6 linked regions of the Macaca mulatta genome follow. The protein of the gene in region 1 purifies or fractionates together with the protein of each later gene. This does not show direct contact. Links are inferred from orthologs where the notes say so. Each region holds a gene or a part of one and is shown in the gene's direction. Other genes may lie near its edges.

Region 1 (2,201 bases):
ATTTATTTGTCTTATGTTAGTAAATAAACAGCGAAGGGGGACAAAAAACAACAACAACAAACACACAAAAAACAGTCCTGCCTACCTATTCTAGATTACTGTAGCTGTAGGCTTTTGTTTTTATACAGTTTGACTACACTGGTAGCAGTTTGACATTGACGTTCCACAAAAGCCTGTTCAAACACAATCCTAGTCATTTAAAAAAATTCTTCTTTAGTAACATGTTCTTTAAAAATACAAAATACAGGAGGAGGGTGAGGGTTGAGAAATAACCTGTTGGGCACAATGTTCACTATTTGGTTATTGGGCACACTGGAAGCCCAGTCCCCATCCGTGAGACCCATGTGACAAATGTGCACGCGTACCCCCGAATCAAAAATAAAATAAAACATTTTAAACATACAAAATACAGATACACACACACACGTAAAGGAGAAAAGGGCCAGTATATCCTAGAGTAGGTATTTTTGGAGGAGAATTCCTTGTTTGGATATGAAGGGTCAAAACTATGTTTGCTTAATAAGGCATACTTTTTTGTAACATATTAAAAACTATTTTCCTTCCTGTCTATGGTACTGATAGCTGTCGACTTGCTGGAGAAGATGCTTGTATTGGACTCAGATAAGAGAATTACAGCAGCCCAAGCCCTTGCACATGCCTACTTTGCTCAGTACCACGATCCTGATGATGAACCAGTGGCCGATCCTTATGATCAGTCCTTTGAAAGCAGGGACCTCCTTATAGATGAGTGGAAAAGTAAGTCCTAAGGGTAGGATTAACATCTTGTACCACTAACCGAAAGCGGTGGGAAAATAAAAACTGAATGGTCATAACCAACTTGCTAAAGCTTGTAGTTGAGGTCTGTAATGCAGAATGAATATGTTCTCTGGTGGAAAGTGTTGTAGACAGTGATACTCTCTGGACCTTTGAGATACTTAACATCTGGTCTGATTTTATGCACAGCCCCTCACATATAGGAGCTTTGCATGGAGATTTGAGGTTTTCAGAGTTATTGCATTTACAACATCTCTCTGAGCTAAGTAAAGAATAGGATATTTTTACAGTTTTACAGTTAGTAGAACTGGGGCAAAGAGAATTTATGTCTTACCAGTTAACTTAGAACTAGTTAGGGACATAGCCAGGAATGGAACCCGTGTATCCTGTGTCCAGTCCCATATTCTTTCCATAAAACACAAGTTCAGAACTCCAGTTAAATCCAAAGAGCCAAGACCATCTGTTGCCGTAGCTTGTGAGAGTGCTCTTTCATTCTTGAGCACCTCCGTAGAGAACTTAAGAGGCATTCAGCAATGAAAAACATGAGGAAAAAAAAAGGTTCTTTTCTATGTCCCTCGAACTTCTGTGTGATAACGTGCTCCATTAGAATATTACATACCAGCTGTGAGGTAGCCCATCATACCACTACCTGGACAGGGAGGAAGGATCTTGAGTGAAGTCAGAGTGCTCGCCAGCAAAGAGAACAGCCTAAACTCTCACGTCTTACTTTTCCTTCCCGATGTCTAGGCCTGACCTATGATGAAGTCGTCAGCTTTGTGCCACCGCCCCTCGACCAAGAAGAGATGGAGTCCTGAGCACCTGGTTTCTGTTCTGTCGATCCCACTTCACTGTGAGGGGAAGGCCTTTTCACGGGAACTCTCCAAATATCATTCAAGTGCCTCTTGTTGCAGAGATTTCCTCCATGGTGGAAGGGGGTGTGTGTGCGCGTGTTAGTGTGTGTGCATGTGTGTGTCTGTCTTTGTGGGAAGGTAAGACAATATGAACAAACTATGATCACAGTGACTTTACATGAGGTTGTGGTGACTTTACATGAGGTTGTGGATGCTTCAGGGCAGCCTCCACCTTGCTCTTCTTTCTGAGAGTTGGCTCAGGCAGGCAAGCTGCTGTCTTTTTAGGAATATGTTCAATGCAAAGTAAAAAAATATGAATTGTCCCCAATCCTGGTCATGCTTTTGCCACTTTGGCTTCTCCTGTGACCCCCACCTTGACGGTGGGGCATAGACTTGACAACATCCCACAGTGGCACAAGAGAAGGCCCACACCTTCTGGTTGCTTCAGACCCAACGCTGTCCCTCAGTGATGCGTACAGCCAAAAAGGACCAACCGGCTTCTGTGCACTAGCCTGTGATTAACTTGCTTCGTATGGTTCTCAGATCTTGACAGGTGTATTTGAAACTGTAAATATG
Region 2 (4,131 bases), on another chromosome or scaffold:
TCCCGGGTTCATGCCATTCTCCTGCCTCAGCCTCCCGTGTAGCTGGGACTACACACGCACACCACCACACCCGGCTAATTTTTGTATTTTTTGTAGAGACGAGGGTTTCACCATGTTGGCCAGGCTGGTCTCGAACTCCTGGCCTCCAAGTGTTCCACCCGCCTAGGCCTCCCAAAGTGCTGGGATTACAGGCATGAGCCACCGCGCCTGGCTATGAACATTCAGGTTTATTCATCCACTCAAAAATATGTAGAGCCCTGACCTCCTGCCAAGCGTCACAGGGGGACTGTTGCAATAAGATCCCGGTACCCATTTCTCTACCCACGCGTCTGGGTGTACGGGTACGGATAGTCGCGTGAATTTAAAATGCTAATCTATGGTGCCAGTGGCTCTCAAAAGGTAGAATCCACTGGCACACCCACCTCCAGGACTTGGCTGGAAACTTGTACATTTCGGATGGCAGGTTTGGGAACCGCTGCCTTTCAGCAAAGGTGCTGACGTGGGCCACCGCCGCTTCGCTGGGAAGCAATGGGCCCAGCTAGGCCCCAGGCGCGGCCACACCCCTGTGGGGGAGGGGAAGGAGGCTGCCCCGAAGGGAGTGGACAGCCCCCCTGTCAGTCTTCCAGAGTCTGGGAGTGTAAGATGAGACGGGGGAAGGTGGGCCTCATTCTGGCGGAGGGCAAGGAGGAACTTCCTGCTGGTGCGCTCCACCGTGCAGAGCCCTAAGCGCGCGGGCTGGCAGGCTGCGGCGCGTCAAGGTCAGCCTGGAGCTGGGTGGTGGCCTGCCTGGGGGCGGGGGACCCTACTGGGGGGCCGGGCTGAGGCCTCTCAGCGCCTCCGCCATATTGAATAGCCTCGACTGGACCGTCTTTGTCTGCGAAGTCCTCTCCCAAGTTCCAACCGCGTCCCAGGGGCCTGGGGCAGGAAGAATCGCTGGCAGCCCGCGCGCCCCAACTTGGAGCTGGGACACCACGTTTCCAGCTTGGAGTGGGCCTTGAACCTTGGGACTGACCTCGCCTCCGGCTCACGTAGGCATCCTGGAAATTGATTCTCCCAAGTCCTTGGTGGAGGAGCCGGACTTGGTCAAGACTGGACTTGTTGCAGGAGAAGAGATTGGAGGCGTTGACTCGTCCCTGGCTGGGGAGGTGAGACTCTGCGGTCAGCGTTGCTGGGACTCCCCCCATCCAGTCCCTCCCTCAAGACTAAGGGCTACAGTAGTTTGTTGGGGCTCTTTGCTCCCTCACCCCAGATATCACCCTGGAGATCTTAAAGACTCTCGAGAAAAGCCACGTGGGGGGCTGGTTCCCCTGGGGCTTCCTCCCGTCCCCCGACTGCCTCATTCTTTGGAGCGTCCCCGATGTCTGCAAAGATGTGGATTTGGACGTCCTCGTGGAAGCCCTAAAACCCGTGGGAACATTTAAGAAGATCGGCAAGGTGTTCCGCAAGGAGGAGGACTCCACGGTGGGGATGCTGCAGATCGGGGAGGACGTCGACTATTTGCTCATCCCCCGGGAGGTCAGGCTGGCCGGGGGCGTCTGGAGAGTCATCTCTAAGCCTGCCACCAAGGAAGCAGAATTTCGGGAGCGGCTGACCCAGTTCCTGGAAGAACAGGGCCGCACCCTGGAGGACGTGGCCCGCATCATCGAGAAGAGCACCCCGCACCCGCCCCAGCCCCCCAAAAAGCCCAAGGAGCCCCGAGTGAGGAGGAGAGTGCAGCAGATGGTGACTCCTACGCCCCGGCTGGTCGTGGGCACGTATGACAGCAGCAACGCCAGCGACAGCGAGTTCAGCGACTTCGAGACCTCCAGAGACAAGAGCCGCCAGGGCCCGCGGCGGGGCAAGAAGGTGCGCAAAATGCCCGTCAGCTACCTGGGCAGCAAGTTCCTGGGAAGCGACGTGGAGAGCGAGGATGATGAGGAACTGGTGGAGGCATTTCTCCGGCGACAGGAGAAGCAGCCCCCCGCGCCGCCTGCCCGCCGCCGCGTCAACCTGCCAGTGCCCATGTTTGAGGACAACCTGGGGCCTCAGCTGTCCAAGGCGGACAGGTGGCGGGAGTATGTCAGCCAGGTGTCCTGGGGGAAGCTGAAGCGGAGGGTGAAGGGTTGGGCGCCGAGGGCGGGCCCCGGGGTGGGCGAGGCCCGGCTGGCCTCCATCCCAGTGGAGAGCGCAGGGGTATCCTCCGGCACCAGCCCGGGGGATCCCGGGGATCCTGTGGAAAATGTGGGAGATGTCTGTGCCCCGCAGGCCTCCCCTAGGCGATGGAGGCCCAAGATCAACTGGGCCTCGTTTAGGCGCCGCAGGAAGGAGCAGACAGCGCCCACAGGTCGGGGGGCAGACATCGAGGCTGATCAGGGGGAAGAGGCTGCAGATAATCAGAGGGAAGAGGCCATAGCTGACCAGGAGGAAGAGGCTGCAGGTAATCAGAGGGCAGGGGCCCCAGCTGACCAGGGGGCAGAGGATGCAGATAACCATAGGGAAGAGGCTGCAGATAATCAGAGGGAAGAGGCCATAGCTGACCAGAGGGAAGAGGCTGCAGGTAATCAGAGGGCAGGGGCCCCAGCTGACCAGGGGGCAGAGGCTGCAGATAACCATGGGGAAGAGGCTGCAGATAATCAGAGGGCAGAGGCCCCAGCTGACCATAGGCCACAGGGTGCAGATAACCTGAGGGAAGAGGCTCTAGCTGACCAGGGGTCAGAGGCTACAGATCCTCGAAGGGAAGAGGCCATACATGACCAGAGGGAAAGGGCCCCAGCTGTCCAGGGTGCAGGTAATCAGAGGGCACAGGCCCGGGCTGGCCAAAGGGCAGAGGCTGCACATAATCAGACGGCAGGGGCCCCAGGTATCCAGGAAGCTGAAGCCTCAGCTACCCAAGGGGCCACAGGAACAGCTTCAGGAGCCAGGGCCCGGAAACAGGTCAAGACAGTGAGGTTCCAGACCCCTGGACGCTTTTCGTGGTTTCGCAAGCCCCGGAGAGCCTTCTGGCACACTCCCCGGTTGCCAACCCTGCCCAAGAGAGTCCCCAGGGCAGGCGAGGCCAGGAGCCTCAGGGTGCTGAGGGCCGAGGCCAGAGCAGAAGCTGAACAGGGAGAGCGAGAAGACCAGCTGTGAGGTGAGGGCTAGAGACAGCCCACGGGCCCTCCCTACAAGCGTGGGAGAGAAAGTTGCTCTTTCTGCCTCTGAACTTGAAAGTGGAGTTGGAGTGCTGCCCACATCTCCACCTTACAACCCTCTTTATTCTCTTGTTAAAGTTTTGTCTCATGCGTTGATTTTTAAAAAATTTTTTAGAGACAGGGTCTCACTCTGTTGCCCAGGCTGGAGTGCAGTGGCATGATCACTGCAGCCTCAAACTTCTGGCCTCAAGTGATCCTCCTGCCTCGGCCTCCCAAAGTGCTGGGATGACAGGTGTGAGCCACCACACGTACCACCTGATAAAATATATATATATATATACATATATACATATATATAGTGATTCCTTGTAGCAACCCAAAAAATGTAAAGAAAGAATTCGATACAAGGGGGTTCTGTCACCTATAGTTTTAATTTCCTCAAATGCAACTCAAGGTGCTCAGCTTGATAAAAGGAGAGCGGGAGGGCAGGGGAGAAATTGCCTGCTTTTCCTGTCCCTTTTTTGCCTGCACACTTAACGTGGACTGCCTCCTTGGACTTAAAAAGAGGACTTGAGCCAACATGCAAATAAAAAAACATTTATGAACTGGTTTCTTAGCTTTGGACTTGGCAACTGACGAATGCTCTGGGGGTGACCCGGCCCTTCCTGTCCGTTCTACTCCCATCCTTGAAGATGGAGACACCTGTGTTTATGTTGTCACTTCGCTTGCCATCCTCATGCCCCTGGACTCTGCTGCTTTGGAGGGGACAGGGCCCTTGGTTTGCATACCTCTCCCGATCTTGGTTGTAAGGTACAGTAAAAGCATCTGAAAAATGCGTTCAAAACACAGATTCTGGGGCCCTCAGCATCAGAGATGTGGATTTGCTAGCGGTGCCTGTGTGGCTCTGAATTCTGTTTGCATCAAGCTTCCAAACATCTGGGCAATTCGGCCATTGGACACATTGAAAACTCATTGCAATAAGAAAAGGCCTAAAAGAGGGGCTGTGGTTGGCCGGACGTGG
Region 3 (2,375 bases), on another chromosome or scaffold:
GGAGCTCGGAGGCCGCCCGCTGAGACCCGGAGCCCGCGTCCGCATCAGACAGGAAGGTCTGGCCTCCTGGTTACCCTCTCGGGCCCCTCGCTGCCCCGCCCAGACTCGGACAGATCCCGCCCCACCGGGACAAGCCCCGCCCCTGACTCGGACGGGCCCCGCCCCGCGGCCCTGTGAGCCTCGTCCCCAGTCTTTCCCCCGCCCCCAGCCCCGAGTCTCGGACCGCTAGTCTTCCCGCTCGGTATCCCGGTTCCGCCCACCCTAGCGTACACTAACGGTGTCCGAACCGACCCAGGGGCCTGCTGCGCCCCCACCTTCGTCCCTAGCGCTCCTCAGAGGCGGCTCCGGCCTCGCTAGCGACCCCCTCACCCCCAGGGAAGAAACACATTCTGGTGCTTAGCGAGCTGCGGGCCGAAGACGCCGGTGAAGTACGCTTCCAGGCGGGGCCCGCCCAGTCCTTGGCTCTACTGGAAGTGGAGGGTAAGCACCTGGGGCGGGAGCCACAGAGAGTACATCCTCTGTCTCCTGCCATGGGACTGACGGACTTGGGGCTGGCCCCAAGAACGCTGCCTCTCTCTCTTCCCCTCCCCCCGAGAGGCTGTCCTGGGTCGGGTCACAGAGGGCAGCGCGTTTCCCCGGGAAGAGGAGACTTTGGGTCTGAGGTGCAAGGGAACGGACTGGTGGCATAGAGGGCTAAGGCCAGGAGTGGAGGCTGCAGGGAGGGAAGATGCATCTCTTCTCCTGGGGGCCATGCGTGTCCCTATTAACTTAAGCTCCTGCCCCCTATCCCCAGCATTGCCTCTCCAGATGTGCCGCCACCCCCCTCGCGAGAAGACCGTTCTGATGGGCCGCCGGGCGGTGCTGGAGGTGACTGTGTCCCGCTCGGGGAGCCACGTGTGCTGGTTGCGGGAGGGGGCCGAGCTGTGCCCGGGAGATAAGTATGAGATGCGCAGCCACGGCCCCACCCACAGCCTGGTCATCCATGACGTTCGACCTGAGGACCAGGGCACCTACTGCTGCCAGGCCGGCCAGGACAGCGCCCACACACGGCTGCTGGTAGAGGGTGAGTAAAGTCAACTGGGCAGAGGCAGGAGAGCGAGGGCGCCTGGGAGCTGATGGGTTAAGCCACACTTGGCTTTCCAAGACTTGGGGTGGCAACGGGTCCTGGGATACGTCGGAGGTGGGGATGGGGGAGGGGAAGGGTAGAGCACACCTAGGGCTGGAAAGCCCTGGAACCGCTTGGCTTAGATCAGCTGCTCCTGGTCAGCTGTTCCCACCTTTCTACGCCCCTTCCTGCCAGGCTTCTCCTCTCTCCTGCCACTGGACCATGTTTGTCTCTCTTGAACAGCCCTGTTTCTACCAGTTCCTTTCCTCCCCACTTCCCCAACACTGCCTGCCTCCAGCCTGTCCCTCCTCTCTCCTGCCCTCTGCCCAGCTTGCCTCTACCCATCTCAGCAAGTTCCATGTCAGCCTCGGCAGAAGCCTCTTTCTTTCCTTTTCCACGTAGGAGACATCCCACCTTCTATCCCGAATCCCAGCATTCCCTTCAGGTGCTGCCCTGTGCCCCATCCCTAGCTGACCCCCACCTTCCTGCTGCCAAGACAGCCCTGACCAAGACGGAGAAAGGGTAGGGCATAGCCTGGGGCCCCAGCTCTTCCTGTACTGGTGTCCAGGCTCTGCCAGGGGAGAGAAAGGTGGTACCCACTCTCTCCCCAGCCACATGTGGAGTCATTCCTCTGCAGGTAACTAGGAGGACCGAACCAGGCCAGGCGGGTGCCCTTGGACAACTTGGAAGGCGTGCGCCCTTACCCTGGGCAGGGGTAGAGAGACAGGGAAACCAGAGGTGTCAGGAGACAATAAAAGTGCTACAGCTCATTTCCTTGCCTCTCTGAGTGATGTGGGAGGGCAGACCTTGCCTGGAGCCTCTGTGCAGTGAGCGACACTGGGGACCGAGGGCTGTAGTGCTTGTACCTGGCCCATGAAAGTGCCAGCCACCAAAGACCACCATTCCTGGCAGAGGCCACGCAGTTTGGCACATTTATAAAAGATGTAAAACAGAGTGGGGTGGGGGAGACAGAAGCATGAGGTGTCCAGGTTGGCATGACAGACACCAGACATGCACCGTGCATTTCAGCCCCTCCCCAACTCCCTTCCCAACCCAGCCCAGAGCAGCACCCCCCACCCCCATCTCCTGCCACTGCCCTCAGGCTGGTGGCTTTGCAGAGGCCAGGGGACCACGGTGAGGGGTGCTACAGTTTGCCCCATAGACAAGGACAAGAACCCTTAGATGAGTCTGGCTGGGAGGCAGGGCGATGGGAAGGAAGGTAGCCCCTCCGCGGAGACATGCAGGAGGTGGCCCATGGGACCCCGGCGGG
Region 4 (3,500 bases), on another chromosome or scaffold:
TTTTTTAGGGGTATGAAATTATGTTGCTTTTTTTTTTTTTCTTTTCTTCAACTAGTTTCAACTCTCCATGTTTACTGTCTGCTGATCCTGAAAGAATTGTGACCATACTTTAGTCTGTGAGTGTCTAGAGAACGAAGTTGCCTAAATCAGACATGTCAGACTGAGGCATAACAGAATTACTCTTAAGAGCAATTAAAGTACTTTACTGCAAAATAAACATTTTCATTATTTTCCATTTTTAATGTTAGAGTTGTCTCCTTTGTGTGATCATAAAGCAACAGATTTTCTTTCCAGTATGGAGAGAAGAGAGAACTGTCCTCTACAGGTGAAGGTGTACTCTAGTTTTTCACATATATTCTAAAATAAGCAACTGAAAGGATTGTGTTTATGTTACAAAAAGGGAGTTTTGTTTTACAAAATAATTAAACTATGTGAGAACTACAAAAGAATGTAATGGCCAGGCATGGTGGCTCATGCTTGTAATCCGAGCACTTTGGGAGGCCAAGGCGGGCAGATCACCTCAGGTTGAGAGTTGGAGACCAGCCTGACCAACATGGAGAAACCCTGTGTCTACTAAAAATACAAAATTAGCCGGACAAATTAGCTGGGCGTGATGGCGCATGCCTGTGATCCCAGCTATTTGGGAGGCTGAGGCAGGAGAATTGCTTGAACCCAGGAGTTGGAGGTTGTGGGTGAGCGGAGATTGTGCCATTGCACTCCAGCCTGTGCAACAAGAGCAAAACTCCGTCTCCAAAAACAAACAAAAAACAAGAATTTAACTGCATAGTTCAAAACTGTGCAACCATATGAACTATATGCAGATTATTTAAAATATAAAAGTTAAATTTGCATATGACTTTTTAGAAAAATGTCTTCCATAAAGTAGAGCTTTGTATCAATATTATTTCTTTGTATAACCATGGAATCCATTCACAATATAGGGTGGGAGGGCAGTTCTCTTTGATTCTGCCTTCCTTGAAGGCGGCTCTGTCAATTGATAAATCTCTAGTGACTTGCTCCCTATTTAAATGAAGGCATGAGTGGAAAGGTCCTGTCTCTCACTGCAGGAAACCATCTTTAAAGTCATGGAATTGCTAAAAGGATAGGGATCTATTTTTAGAACTTTGGCCTTAAAAACATTTTAAGAATATCACTAAGCCACAGTAGAGTACTACTTTTATTATGTAAATATACTTCCATTTTAAGAAAATACTGTGATTTATAACTGATTGCATGGGTGAGAGGGAAGAAAAAAGAGTGACTAATTAGAATTGTTTAGTAGAGTTGTTATATGTATTTTATTTTGCTTAGCAGATTTTTCCCTCCCAAAATGGAATGGTGGTTCACGTTTGCTTTTACAGAAAATCGTATTTATGATTGGAATTGTGAAGGAGGTGCTCCTAAGGGAAAATGTTTTCATGGCTGAATTAGGATAAGGTGTTATCTAAATCAGGAATGCCTTAGAAGCTGTATGTACCACATGTTTTCTGTGTCGGAAGTAGTATCTATGTTTTTATTTGTAAACATGCATTCTTTTGGTTGGATTTATGGAAGACTAACAAACAGAAACATGGGTTTTTAGCATTGCGGTCTGGCTGCCTGTGCACCCACAGCTGTGGAGGCCAAGACGCTTCTCTGCCTGCAGAGACTGCCCATCCCTGTTTCTCAGCAGGCTGGAAGTGTCTGCGTATTTGTCTTCCTTCCTCTTAGCACAGATACTTCCAGAATAGGGGGCACAGTCATTCTTAGGTTCAGGTCCATGTTAGGGAAACACATATAGGTTACTATGACTCCGTTTTCTGCATTCCCAGATGATAAACAGCATAAAATTAGGAACAGGAGAAACTTGGCAAGATTGGACAGTGAGTCAAGTCTTCAGACAACTTTAAAAAATATGCGCAAATTTTTTCAAGAAGCTTATCAGTTTTTCGGTACTGCTTTTCACAGTAAATAGCGGATAATGGTCGATGTTATGTCTTGTAATGGAATCTAGCTTGGAGTCCCTGGGACAACAAAGTTATGACGAGGGCAGATAAGAGGACACTTCATTCTCTGTCTCCGTCAGCCATTTGGAGCAGAAAGTTTGCATGATTGAACTTTCCTTCTGAAGTAGATCTTATTTGTAAGAGAACTTATGAAAGGAAGAGGGACATTTTAAACACGTTTCAAAACTGAGTTGCTGGTGAGGCCACAGATAGTTTTCAGAGGTTCAAGGGAATCAGGCAGTGTCTCATCTGTTGTTAATTAATGAAACGAAACTGGAGTCACTAGAGTGCAGCAGTGAATGAAAGGTCAGTGAATGGAAAAAACTGTCAATGAAGGAGGATGTCAGCAGAGTGGAACATTGTCATAGATAAAGATCAGTGAAAATGTACTCTGGCCGAGGTGGTGTTTTCTGGAAGTGACTAGGAGCCAGTTTGGGACATTTCAAGCCAAACTGAGCACTAAATGAATGTTCTGATTGCAGCTAAATCTGTTAGATATTTTAAAATATTTGTTTGTTTGAATTTGTTCTAGATATCAGTTGAAAAAGCTTCTTTTGTTTTATAATATGTTTTACAGTGTAGTGTTGTTGTTATGTTTGGCTCTTTTGTTTTGAGGCTGAACGATGGTTTCTTTCTCTCCTTTGTTTCTGTTCTCTGTCTCAGAACTTTCTAGAGCCACATTTACTTTTGAGGTCCACTGAAGTCAAAGTGACATAGGATTACTGTACTAATTAACGCTAGAGCTGGACCTCAGACAGCCTGGCTGATGGCTCAGTTTATGATTATTGCAGAATTGCGTCTCCTCTGAAAGTTGTTCTGTAGGGGGTGACCTGAAAGCCAAGACATGGCCTCAACTTTACTACCAACTTGTGTAAATGGTCATGAACAAACCAGTGACCATATTTACATTTCAACTAGTTCATCTGTAAACTTTGTTATTGGTGTCGTGTGAAATTGCCTTTAAAGAGATTCTCCTTTCTCTGGTCTTGTCAGATCTTCTTTCTTCTCCCTCATTGAAGCCTTTGAGCAATATGGCTTTGGGGAAACAAGGCTCTTCCATCAGTTTGGGAAAGGACCATGGCCGTTTTAGCCTGGTCACAGCTGGGAGGCCAGGACCCCGTGAATATCATCAGCAATGTCCCTGCATCCAAGGGAGAGTTGAAGGTAATTCCACAGGATTTAGAAAAGTAGACTTATAACCTGGCTCTTCCAGTTATTATATTACGTGATTCTGAGCCTATATTATGTGATTCTGAGCCTTATCTATGAATGGGATTAGTAGTAATACCTACCTCATAGGGCAGTTATAAGAGTGTGTAAAATACCTATAGAGTGCTTAGAGCAGCGTTTGTCACACAGTAAGCGTTCAGTACGTTCTAGGATTACATACATTATAAAAATAATCATTTATAAGGTTAAAATGAAATTCAAGTGGCATTTCCTTGGATTCTGTGGTTTCTCTTTGAGAACATTTACTGGAATATTGTTTTGTTGGAAGTATGTATGTATTTTTTT
Region 5 (3,500 bases), on another chromosome or scaffold:
TTCACTTCTTTGGGTCTGATCTTAATTTTTCATCATTAAAGCAGGAAGCCACTCCTTGGATTTCTTCTGTTTCTGAACCAAGAATAAATTAAGAGTAACAATAAGAGGAGTTTGCTTTATTCCACTTACAGCTAGGAACCAGGCACTTAACCTTCATTTTCTTTTCTGGGAAGTATCAGCTTGCTTTGCAGGTGGTTCATGGACCTGACATGTCATCCTCCCATAGATCCTGGGCCCAGCCTCATTAGCAAGCATTTATTAAGCGTCTGCTCAGTCAGCCCTGTGACGTCAGGCTACTGATCTTTCCCTTCTTGTGTCTGGGGAAAAAAAAAAAACTTTTAAAAAAAGAACTTTTACAGTTTTCTGATTCTAAAATAATATGTATTCATTATTAAACTTTGAAGATACAGTAAAGCATAAAAAAGAAAACACCTGTAATTTCACAAGCCAGAGATAACCAGGGAAATCATTTTAATGTATTTTTTTTCTATTCACATAAAGATTATCCACAACTCACCCACTTATTTATCTAACTACTTTATATATATTTTTTTTTGTTCTTCTTCTTCTCCCCCCCCCCTTTTTTTCTTTTTTTGACGGAGTCTCTCTGTCACCCAAGCTGGAGTATGGTGGCGCGATCTCAGCTCACTGCAACCTTGGCCTCCAGGGTTCAAGCAATTCTCCCACCTCAGCCTCCCAGTTAGGTGGGACTACAGGCATGCATCACCACACCCAGCTAAGTTTTTGTATTTTCAGTAGAGATGGGGTTTCACCATGTTAGCCAGGATGGTCTTGATCTCCTAACCTCGTGATCCTCCCATTTCGGCCTCCCAAAGTGCTGGAATTACAGGCCTTTTTTTTGGAGGGGGAACAGTCTCTCTGTGTAGCCTAGGCTGGAGTGCAGTGGCATAATCTCGGCTCACTGCAACCTCCAGCTCACTGTAACCTCCGCCTCCCAGGTTCAAGTGATTCTCCTGCCTCAGTCTCCCAAGTAGCTTGGATTACAGGTGCCTGCCACCACATCCAAATAATTTTTGTATTTTTAGTAGAGACAGGGTTTTACCATGTTGGCCAGGCTGGTCTCAAACTCCTGATCTTAAGCTGATCTGCCCTCCTCAGCTTCCCAAAATGCTGGGAGGATTATAGGGATGAGCCATTGCACCCAGCCTAAAATAACTACTTAATATTTTTTAACACAAACTGGGACAATACTGTTTATGGTCATGTATCCAACTTTTTTCTTATAACATTATGCTGTGAGCATTTTTTATATTCATTGAAAGCATCCTTTTTAATGGGTACATAATTTTTAAATTTTTTTCTAGAGAAAGAGTCTTGCTATGTCACCTAGGCAGGAGTGCACTGGCATGATCACAGCTCACTGCAGCCCTAACCTCCTGGGCTTAAGAGATCTTCCCACCTTAGCCTCCCATGTAGCGGGGACCATAGGCATGTGCCACCATATCCAACTAATTATATTTTGTAGAGACAGGGTTTCACTTTGTTGCCCAGGCTGGTCTTGAACTCCTGGGCTCAAGCAGTCCTCCTGCCTTGGCCTCCCAAAGTGCTGAGATTACAGGCATGAGTCAATATTGCCCTTCTTTTTGTCATTATTTTCCACTACTGTTCAAGTGCCTACCTCTATTTGCCTTTCTTTCTTCTTTTTAATTTGCTTCTATGGGTTTAGAAACTAAATAGCCAACTAAATCTGATAAAATTATTTATCACTTAAGATAAATATCTTTAAGGAATAACCCGTGAGGCATTCCAGTTGAATAAAATGCATGTATGTTTCAGTGCATGGGTTTTTGTGACTTCTCCTTTAACTCTCAGTGACCTTTTTGCATCTTTCATGGTTCTCAGCCCTGTTTGTAATAGGTAAGGTAGCTCCATAGTTGAGTTCTGGAAATCTGGGGTGCTATACTTTGATCACCCAGAGAATGCCTTAATCCCCTTTTTTTTTTTTTTTTTTTTTTTTTTTGGAGACGGAGTCTTGCTCTGTCACCAGGCTGGACTGCAGTGGCACTATCTCAGCTTACTGCAACCTCTGGCTCCCGGGTTCAATCAATTCTCCTGTCTCATCCTCCTGAGTAGCTGGGACTACAGATGCATGCCACCACACCCAGCTAATTTTTGTATTTTTAGTAGAGACGGGATTTTACCATGTTGGCCAGGATGGTCTCGATCTCTTGACCTTGTGATCCACCCGCCTCGGTCTCCCAAAGTGCTGGGATTACAGATGTGAGGCATCGTGCCCGGCTGCATAACCCCTTTTCCTTTTGGCTTCCTAAAATTTCCTGGCAGGTAACATGTTGTGAATGAGTGATAACTTAAATATTTTTAATAATAACAATTTATCTTTGGTAATACTGAGTGTGCTTATGTACACAGCACCTACTCTTTCTAGAAAAACCTCCTCCCTTGGAGCTTTTTTTACTGACCCCCTTTTGTTTATTTACTTCTCCCAGTCCTCAAACATGCATGTATTCAAACACACATACCATCTCCTTCCACCCCAGTTTCCTGTTTTCTCCTTTTATCATTAGGTTTCATTTTTGGCCATGTGGAAGTGAAGAGAATTACTATGATGTCATCCCTTCACAGGCCACTTGTGGCACTCCTCAGTGGTTCTTCTTTTATAGAATGCAAGTGCTGCAGGCAGAGAGAGGTTGCCATTCCTCTCTCCAAGTCCCAGAGCAGATGGTACTTAGGCATGGCAATCCGTGCTGCTTCAGGTGCAGAAGTACTTTTGACCTGTATTTTCTACCCCTTTTCACCCTTGAAGACTTGGTTCATCTCCTTTCCCCATTTCACAGAATATTTTTATATAAGAACATAAAAACCATACCCTTACGATGTTATCTTTCAACAGGTTTAAAAATGTTATCTTTGAAATCAGTCCAACAGAAGAAGTTGGAGACTTTGAAGTGAAAGCCAAATTCATGGGAGTTCAAATGGAGACTTTTATGTTACATTATCAGGTGGGTATGCACCAGCAGGAACCAAAAGCTTTCTGGATGAGATTCTTGTCCAAGTAGGAGAACTAGATAAAGAGGAGACTCATCTGAGGAAAGCTGTCTACATTCAGCAGTGAGCTGGGCTCCACACTGTGGGGAAAGAAGCTGAGTGTTGCAGCACGTCTGGTTTGGTGTGTACACTCTGGAGAGCTTTTGCAGATGTAAATCTTCAGAAAACATTTATCTGAAGCTTCCACTTAGTGCTGCCACTAAATTGAGCTGATACCTTGGACTTGAACAAAATGCATAAGTACACATGCTGACATTGCAAAATTGTAAGTCCACTCAGTAGCTTGAAATTTTTTTCTCATTTTGATTTGATGTAGGTACTTAAAGGTTAGATGCACTTCTGACAAGGTGTGTGTAAAGTTTATGTTTGTAAACCACATCCTATCTTAAATCCAAAAAGAACTCGGGAGTAATTCATTTTTACAGCATAAAGATCCCTAAGTTTTATTTTGAAATATCTGATTTTTACACGTT
Region 6 (4,123 bases), on another chromosome or scaffold:
ACCCTCCCAGCTCCGGTGCCATGGCTTGAAACTGCAGCACAGCTAGGAGGGCCCTTGAAGATCATATGGTCCCACCTCTCTCCCCAAACCTACAGACCAGGAAATGGAGACCCAGATGGGACAAGGACCTGGGCTCCAGAGGCAAAGTGCTGCCCTCGTCTCTTCCAGGGGTAATGACTCAGGGGAATTCAGCGCTGCCGCAGACACAGCCAAGCGGCCAGCGGAGCTGCTGGCATCCCAGCCCTGCCTGGCCGCACCTTATCCTGCGCTCCCTGGGCGGAGAAGACGGCCCTTGATGCTCACAGCCTCCTGCCGAGTCTCAGGCAATCCCCCACTGAAGGCACGAGGCCAGGCTGGCCTGGAAGCCCCAGGAAGGCCAGGTGCACATCCCCGCGGGCTGCCCTTTGCCTCCCCTCCCCACGCAACCTTCTGCACTCACACTTGCTCAGGCTCTAGGCTTCTGAACTCAGCCAGACCAAGCCACATCCTACTCTGCCACTACACTATTGTGCCACCACCAGGGAGCCACGGCCTCAGTTTCCCTGGCTGTAGCATGGGGACAAACTCCTTAGACTTCCAGAACTGCTGTAAGGATAAAATGAGGTCCTCGATGGGCAATGCGTGTGACCTTTGGTACAGAGGAGAAAGCTAACGGGACCTAGTGACAACAGCCTCTCCCTACTCGCTCCCAGCCCCTCCCCCACCCAAACGTCCTGGCTCCACCTCTTCCAGGCACTGAGGCTCAAATGCTATTACTATTAGCCAGAATCTGACACATGAGAATGAGAGGAGACACTGCAGGGGGACCTGGGGTGGGGGGTGGAATTGGCAGCGCTGTCAGCCGGATTTTATACCCTCTCCACTGTGGGAGCAGGAGGTGGCTCTGGGGGACCAAGCTGTGCCCGGTCCTCAATGGGCCCCTTCGCTGGGGTGCCAGTGCAGATTCTGCGCTGTAACTGTCCCCCTAGCCCAGGTCCAGCTTAGTTCAGGGCCCCCAACCCCACTCCCGCGCCCCAAGCTCGGGAGCCCCCACTCAGTAGCGCCACTGGGGACCGGGGAGCGCAGGGCGCGTCGGACAGGACTGGCCTAGAGGGCAGAGGCTTGCAGGTGGGAGGAAGGCGGGCGGGGGCGTGGGAGGTGGAGGGAGACGCCGGGCAGGCTGCGGCCCCTCCCCGCTCCCTCCCTGCGCGCCGCCAGCTACAGTGCCCCTCCTGGGCAGGGGGCGGAGAAGACGGCTACGGGAGGAGAGGAGGCGGCGGCAGAGGCGGAGGAGGCAGCGGCGGCGGAGGCGGGATTTGGAGTTTCCCTCCGCAGCGGCGGCGGCTGCCCCTCCGCTCCAGGCGAGGCCGCCACCCAGGGTTCCGGTGGCGTTAGGCGGCAGCAGTGGCGCTTCCCGCCGCCCGAGCTTCGGAAACTTCCCGGCCGCGACGCAGGGAACCGGCGCGGAGAACCGAGCAGAGCGGAGGTGAGTGGAGCACGCGGCGCCCAGGGGACCCCCACCCCACCCCCACCCCACCCGGCCTGACTGCCCCCGCCCCGACGTGCGCTCCTCCATCCTGCAGCCCCAAAGTCCTGACAACGCACACCCCACGAAGCCGGCGCACGCGCCCCCACGAGACCCATTCGGTGCTGCCGCCGCACACCCCCGCACCCCGCCTGTGCACCTCCCGTGTCCCCTGTCACTTACACCGGCTGCACACTCGCTCGCGTACAAACCTCGCACCACAGACCCGGGTTCCTGTAGTGCACACACTAGCAGCCCCTGCCCCACCACTCACCACTGTCCCCAACTCATGCCAACCCACCGAGACCCTGCCACGCCCCAATACACACCCAGGCGCACACGCACGCTTCCAACACATCTCTGCGATACCTGCACTAACATAGCTCCCCCTACCATGCCCCCACCACCTCGAACTCCCCATCTGCCCATTACAGACACCCCACCCACGTTCCCAGCCCACAGACACTGCAGTCCACCCACCCCGGAGCAAGGTCCCATCAGAAACCCATATCCCAGTGGCTGACACTCCCCACGTCCCAAGCACACACCTCCAGCATCTCCAAGGCGCACTCTCATCCACCCCAGCAAGCGCGCACACCTGCTGGATTCACGCTCTCCAGCACCCTGCCCCGCCCCCATCACAAATAGCCTTCGACACCCCCCAGCACATCTCTGAGTCCCTCCCTTCCTCCCCCCCCCAACACCTGGCACGCGGGCTCTAGAGGCTGCAGCATTTGGTGGCATCCCTGCCAGGCACCTCTGGCTCTCCTTCGGCAGCGGCTCAGCAGCCTTGGGCCCCCCAGGTGCCTCCCTAGACAGACCTTGAGACTCCCCAGCGACTGGTTTGGCCTCTTCCCTAAGAGATAAAGAAGGCACTTTGGGGTCCAAGGTAGGGTACTTAGATGTGGAAGCAAGGGGCCCCGGGGAGGGGCGGGGAGGAGGCGGAGAGAGCCCGGCGCTGAAATGGAGGCGGCCCAGGTGGGACCAAAAGGACGCCAGCTGCCCGGCAAGCACGTAGTAGGTGGGTTCCATGGGGGCTGGCGTCCGCGCGCGCTGTCTGGGTGCCTGCCTGCGTGTGTGTTACGGGGAGGGCTGTGTGTGCACGTGTGCTTGTGCGTGTCGGGGTGGGGGAGGAGTGTGTGATCCGCAGAAGGAAAAGCAGGAGCAGCTCCCTCAGGCAACAATTGGTTTCATTCATTCATGCCTTCTTTGTTAACGAGCATTTCTTCCGCGAGCGCCGGGCGCGTGCCAGGCCCTGCACTGGGGGCTGGGGCCAGCTTGGGGCCGGGCACACACCCGTTCCTGCCTTGGAGGAACTCCCAGTCCCGCGAGGAGACCGACCAGGAAAAGCAGAAAGCCATCCCCAGCAGAAAGTGGATTTGATGGAAAAGACACTGGATTTGGCAGGCACGCTGTCGCTGGGACTTGTGCTCTTGGCCATGTGACCCGGCCGCGACAGCCGAAATCCTGTCACTCGGCCCGGCGGGAACGATGCATTTCGTGGGGGAAGGCGGCGCGGCGCCGCTCTCGGGAGGCTCCCGGGACCAGAGGGCGCACGCGGCGCGCGCGAGGCCTGCAGGCGGCGGCGTCCCCTCGGCCTCCAGGGGGCGCTGGCCCGGCCCGGCGGAGGCCCAGGGCGCCCGGCGGGGGCGGGGGCGGGGGCGGGGGCGGGGGCGGCAGGCGCAGCGCCCACCCTGCGGCGAGCAGCGAGCGCGCGGCCTGGCTCCGCCAGCCGGAGGGGGCCAGGCGAGGCCCGGGCGCGCGGCGCGGCCTCCCCCAGCACAGCGCACCCGCGAGCGGCTGTGGGCGGGTCGGAGCCCAGAGCCGGCGCTGCAGGGGGCTTGAGTTGGGACGGCCCGCCTAGGGTCGCCGGTGAGAGGGGCGTTAGGGGGTTGGCTGCGCTCAGCCCTGCAGTGCGGAGGTGGCAACAGGTTCCCATTTGTCCTGTTGCTGGCGCTGCGGGCGCTGTGGGCCCCAAGCACTGAGCTCTGACTTTGGAAATTGAGCCCCTAGTGGCCTCCTCCCAAATGCTTTCTCCCGGCGGGAGGGCTTGCCAGCAGGACTCCGCAGTTGGGTGCAGGGGAGTCCCTCGCCAGGCGTCAGGAGACGTGGACCCTTGGATCCTAGGCTTCCCCTTCCTTCACCATTGCGGAGGTTGCCTGTCCCCGTCCTCATCCCAGCCCAGCTCTCACCTCCAGGGATCCCTCTCCAGAGAGCACGTCTGAGCACCTCAGGAGCTCCTTCTCCAGCCAAACTGAGCCCCCACAGCAGGGCGGGCGGGGGAAGTGGCTGTCCAGCTCCCTGCTGGTCATAGCCCTGTGCCACCCCCACTATCCACAACCAGACTGGCACATGGCAGAACCTCCGTGGTGCCTTCAACCCCTGCCCACTCTTAGCTCCCACCCACAGCTGCAGTGGGCCTGGAGGCAGCCCCCAGGCTGGGTGCCGGTGACCACCTCCGCCACTGTGGAGCTAGGCTGTGAGACAGGAGAAGGTAGAAGACAGAAGACAAAGTCCCTGCCCCAGGAACACACTGAGAAAGGGGGAAAGTGACCACACTAGGGAGCACAGAGGAGGGAGACTACTGGCTCTGAGTTGGGAAGGCTGCCTGGAGGAGAG

The links.
Region 2: the proteins of MAPK14 (region 1) and CCDC8 purify together in Homo sapiens (affinity purification with mass spectrometry; 3 studies listed by BioGRID and IntAct, counting the BioPlex papers as one, with this or other methods). This does not show direct contact. The link is inferred for Macaca mulatta from reciprocal best matches to the Homo sapiens genes MAPK14 and CCDC8.
Region 3: the proteins of MAPK14 (region 1) and OBSL1 purify together in Homo sapiens (affinity purification with mass spectrometry; 6 studies listed by BioGRID and IntAct, counting the BioPlex papers as one, with this or other methods). This does not show direct contact. The link is inferred for Macaca mulatta from reciprocal best matches to the Homo sapiens genes MAPK14 and OBSL1.
Region 4: the proteins of MAPK14 (region 1) and DUSP16 purify together in Homo sapiens (affinity purification with mass spectrometry; 7 studies listed by BioGRID and IntAct, counting the BioPlex papers as one, with this or other methods). This does not show direct contact. The link is inferred for Macaca mulatta from reciprocal best matches to the Homo sapiens genes MAPK14 and DUSP16.
Region 5: the proteins of MAPK14 (region 1) and IQGAP1 purify together in Homo sapiens (affinity purification with mass spectrometry; 3 studies listed by BioGRID and IntAct, counting the BioPlex papers as one, with this or other methods). This does not show direct contact. The link is inferred for Macaca mulatta from reciprocal best matches to the Homo sapiens genes MAPK14 and IQGAP1.
Region 6: the proteins of MAPK14 (region 1) and DUSP9 purify together in Homo sapiens (affinity purification with mass spectrometry; 8 studies listed by BioGRID and IntAct, counting the BioPlex papers as one, with this or other methods). This does not show direct contact. The link is inferred for Macaca mulatta from reciprocal best matches to the Homo sapiens genes MAPK14 and DUSP9.

Annotation. Positions count from the first base shown.
Region 1 is NC_133409.1:146,147,259-146,149,459, reverse strand, and holds part of MAPK14 (mitogen-activated protein kinase 14), read left to right. Parts: intron 1-112; exon of another isoform or gene 113-582; coding exon 583-756; exon of another isoform or gene 757-1,521; coding exon 1,522-1,589; 3' UTR 1,590-2,201. UniProt on the Homo sapiens protein: Serine/threonine kinase which acts as an essential component of the MAP kinase signal transduction pathway.
Region 2 is NC_133424.1:58,899,860-58,903,990, reverse strand, and holds the start of CCDC8 (coiled-coil domain-containing protein 8), read left to right. Parts: upstream 1-1,331; 5' UTR 1,332-1,467; coding exon 1,468-3,108; 3' UTR 3,109-3,292; exon of another isoform or gene 3,293-3,719; intron 3,720-4,131. UniProt on the Homo sapiens protein: Core component of the 3M complex, a complex required to regulate microtubule dynamics and genome integrity. It is unclear how the 3M complex regulates microtubules, it could act by controlling the level of a microtubule stabilizer.
Region 3 is NC_133417.1:124,792,014-124,794,388, reverse strand, and holds the end of OBSL1 (obscurin-like protein 1), read left to right. Parts: coding exon 1-56; intron 57-375; coding exon 376-480; intron 481-793; coding exon 794-1,063; intron 1,064-1,742; coding exon 1,743-1,750; 3' UTR 1,751-1,875; downstream 1,876-2,375. UniProt on the Homo sapiens protein: Core component of the 3M complex, a complex required to regulate microtubule dynamics and genome integrity. It is unclear how the 3M complex regulates microtubules, it could act by controlling the level of a microtubule stabilizer.
Region 4 is NC_133416.1:14,928,438-14,931,937, reverse strand, and holds part of DUSP16 (dual specificity protein phosphatase 16), read left to right. Parts: intron 1-2,978; coding exon 2,979-3,149; intron 3,150-3,500. UniProt on the Homo sapiens protein: Dual specificity protein phosphatase involved in the inactivation of MAP kinases. Dephosphorylates MAPK10 bound to ARRB2.
Region 5 is NC_133412.1:80,384,156-80,387,655, forward strand, and holds part of IQGAP1 (ras GTPase-activating-like protein IQGAP1), read left to right. Parts: intron 1-2,872; coding exon 2,873-2,981; intron 2,982-3,500. UniProt on the Homo sapiens protein: Plays a crucial role in regulating the dynamics and assembly of the actin cytoskeleton.
Region 6 is NC_133426.1:159,878,825-159,882,947, forward strand, and holds the start of DUSP9 (dual specificity protein phosphatase 9), read left to right. Parts: upstream 1-1,323; 5' UTR 1,324-1,465; exon of another isoform or gene 1,466-2,467; coding exon of another isoform or gene 2,468-2,525; intron 2,526-3,561; exon of another isoform or gene 3,562-3,998; intron 3,999-4,123. UniProt on the Homo sapiens protein: Inactivates MAP kinases. Has a specificity for the ERK family.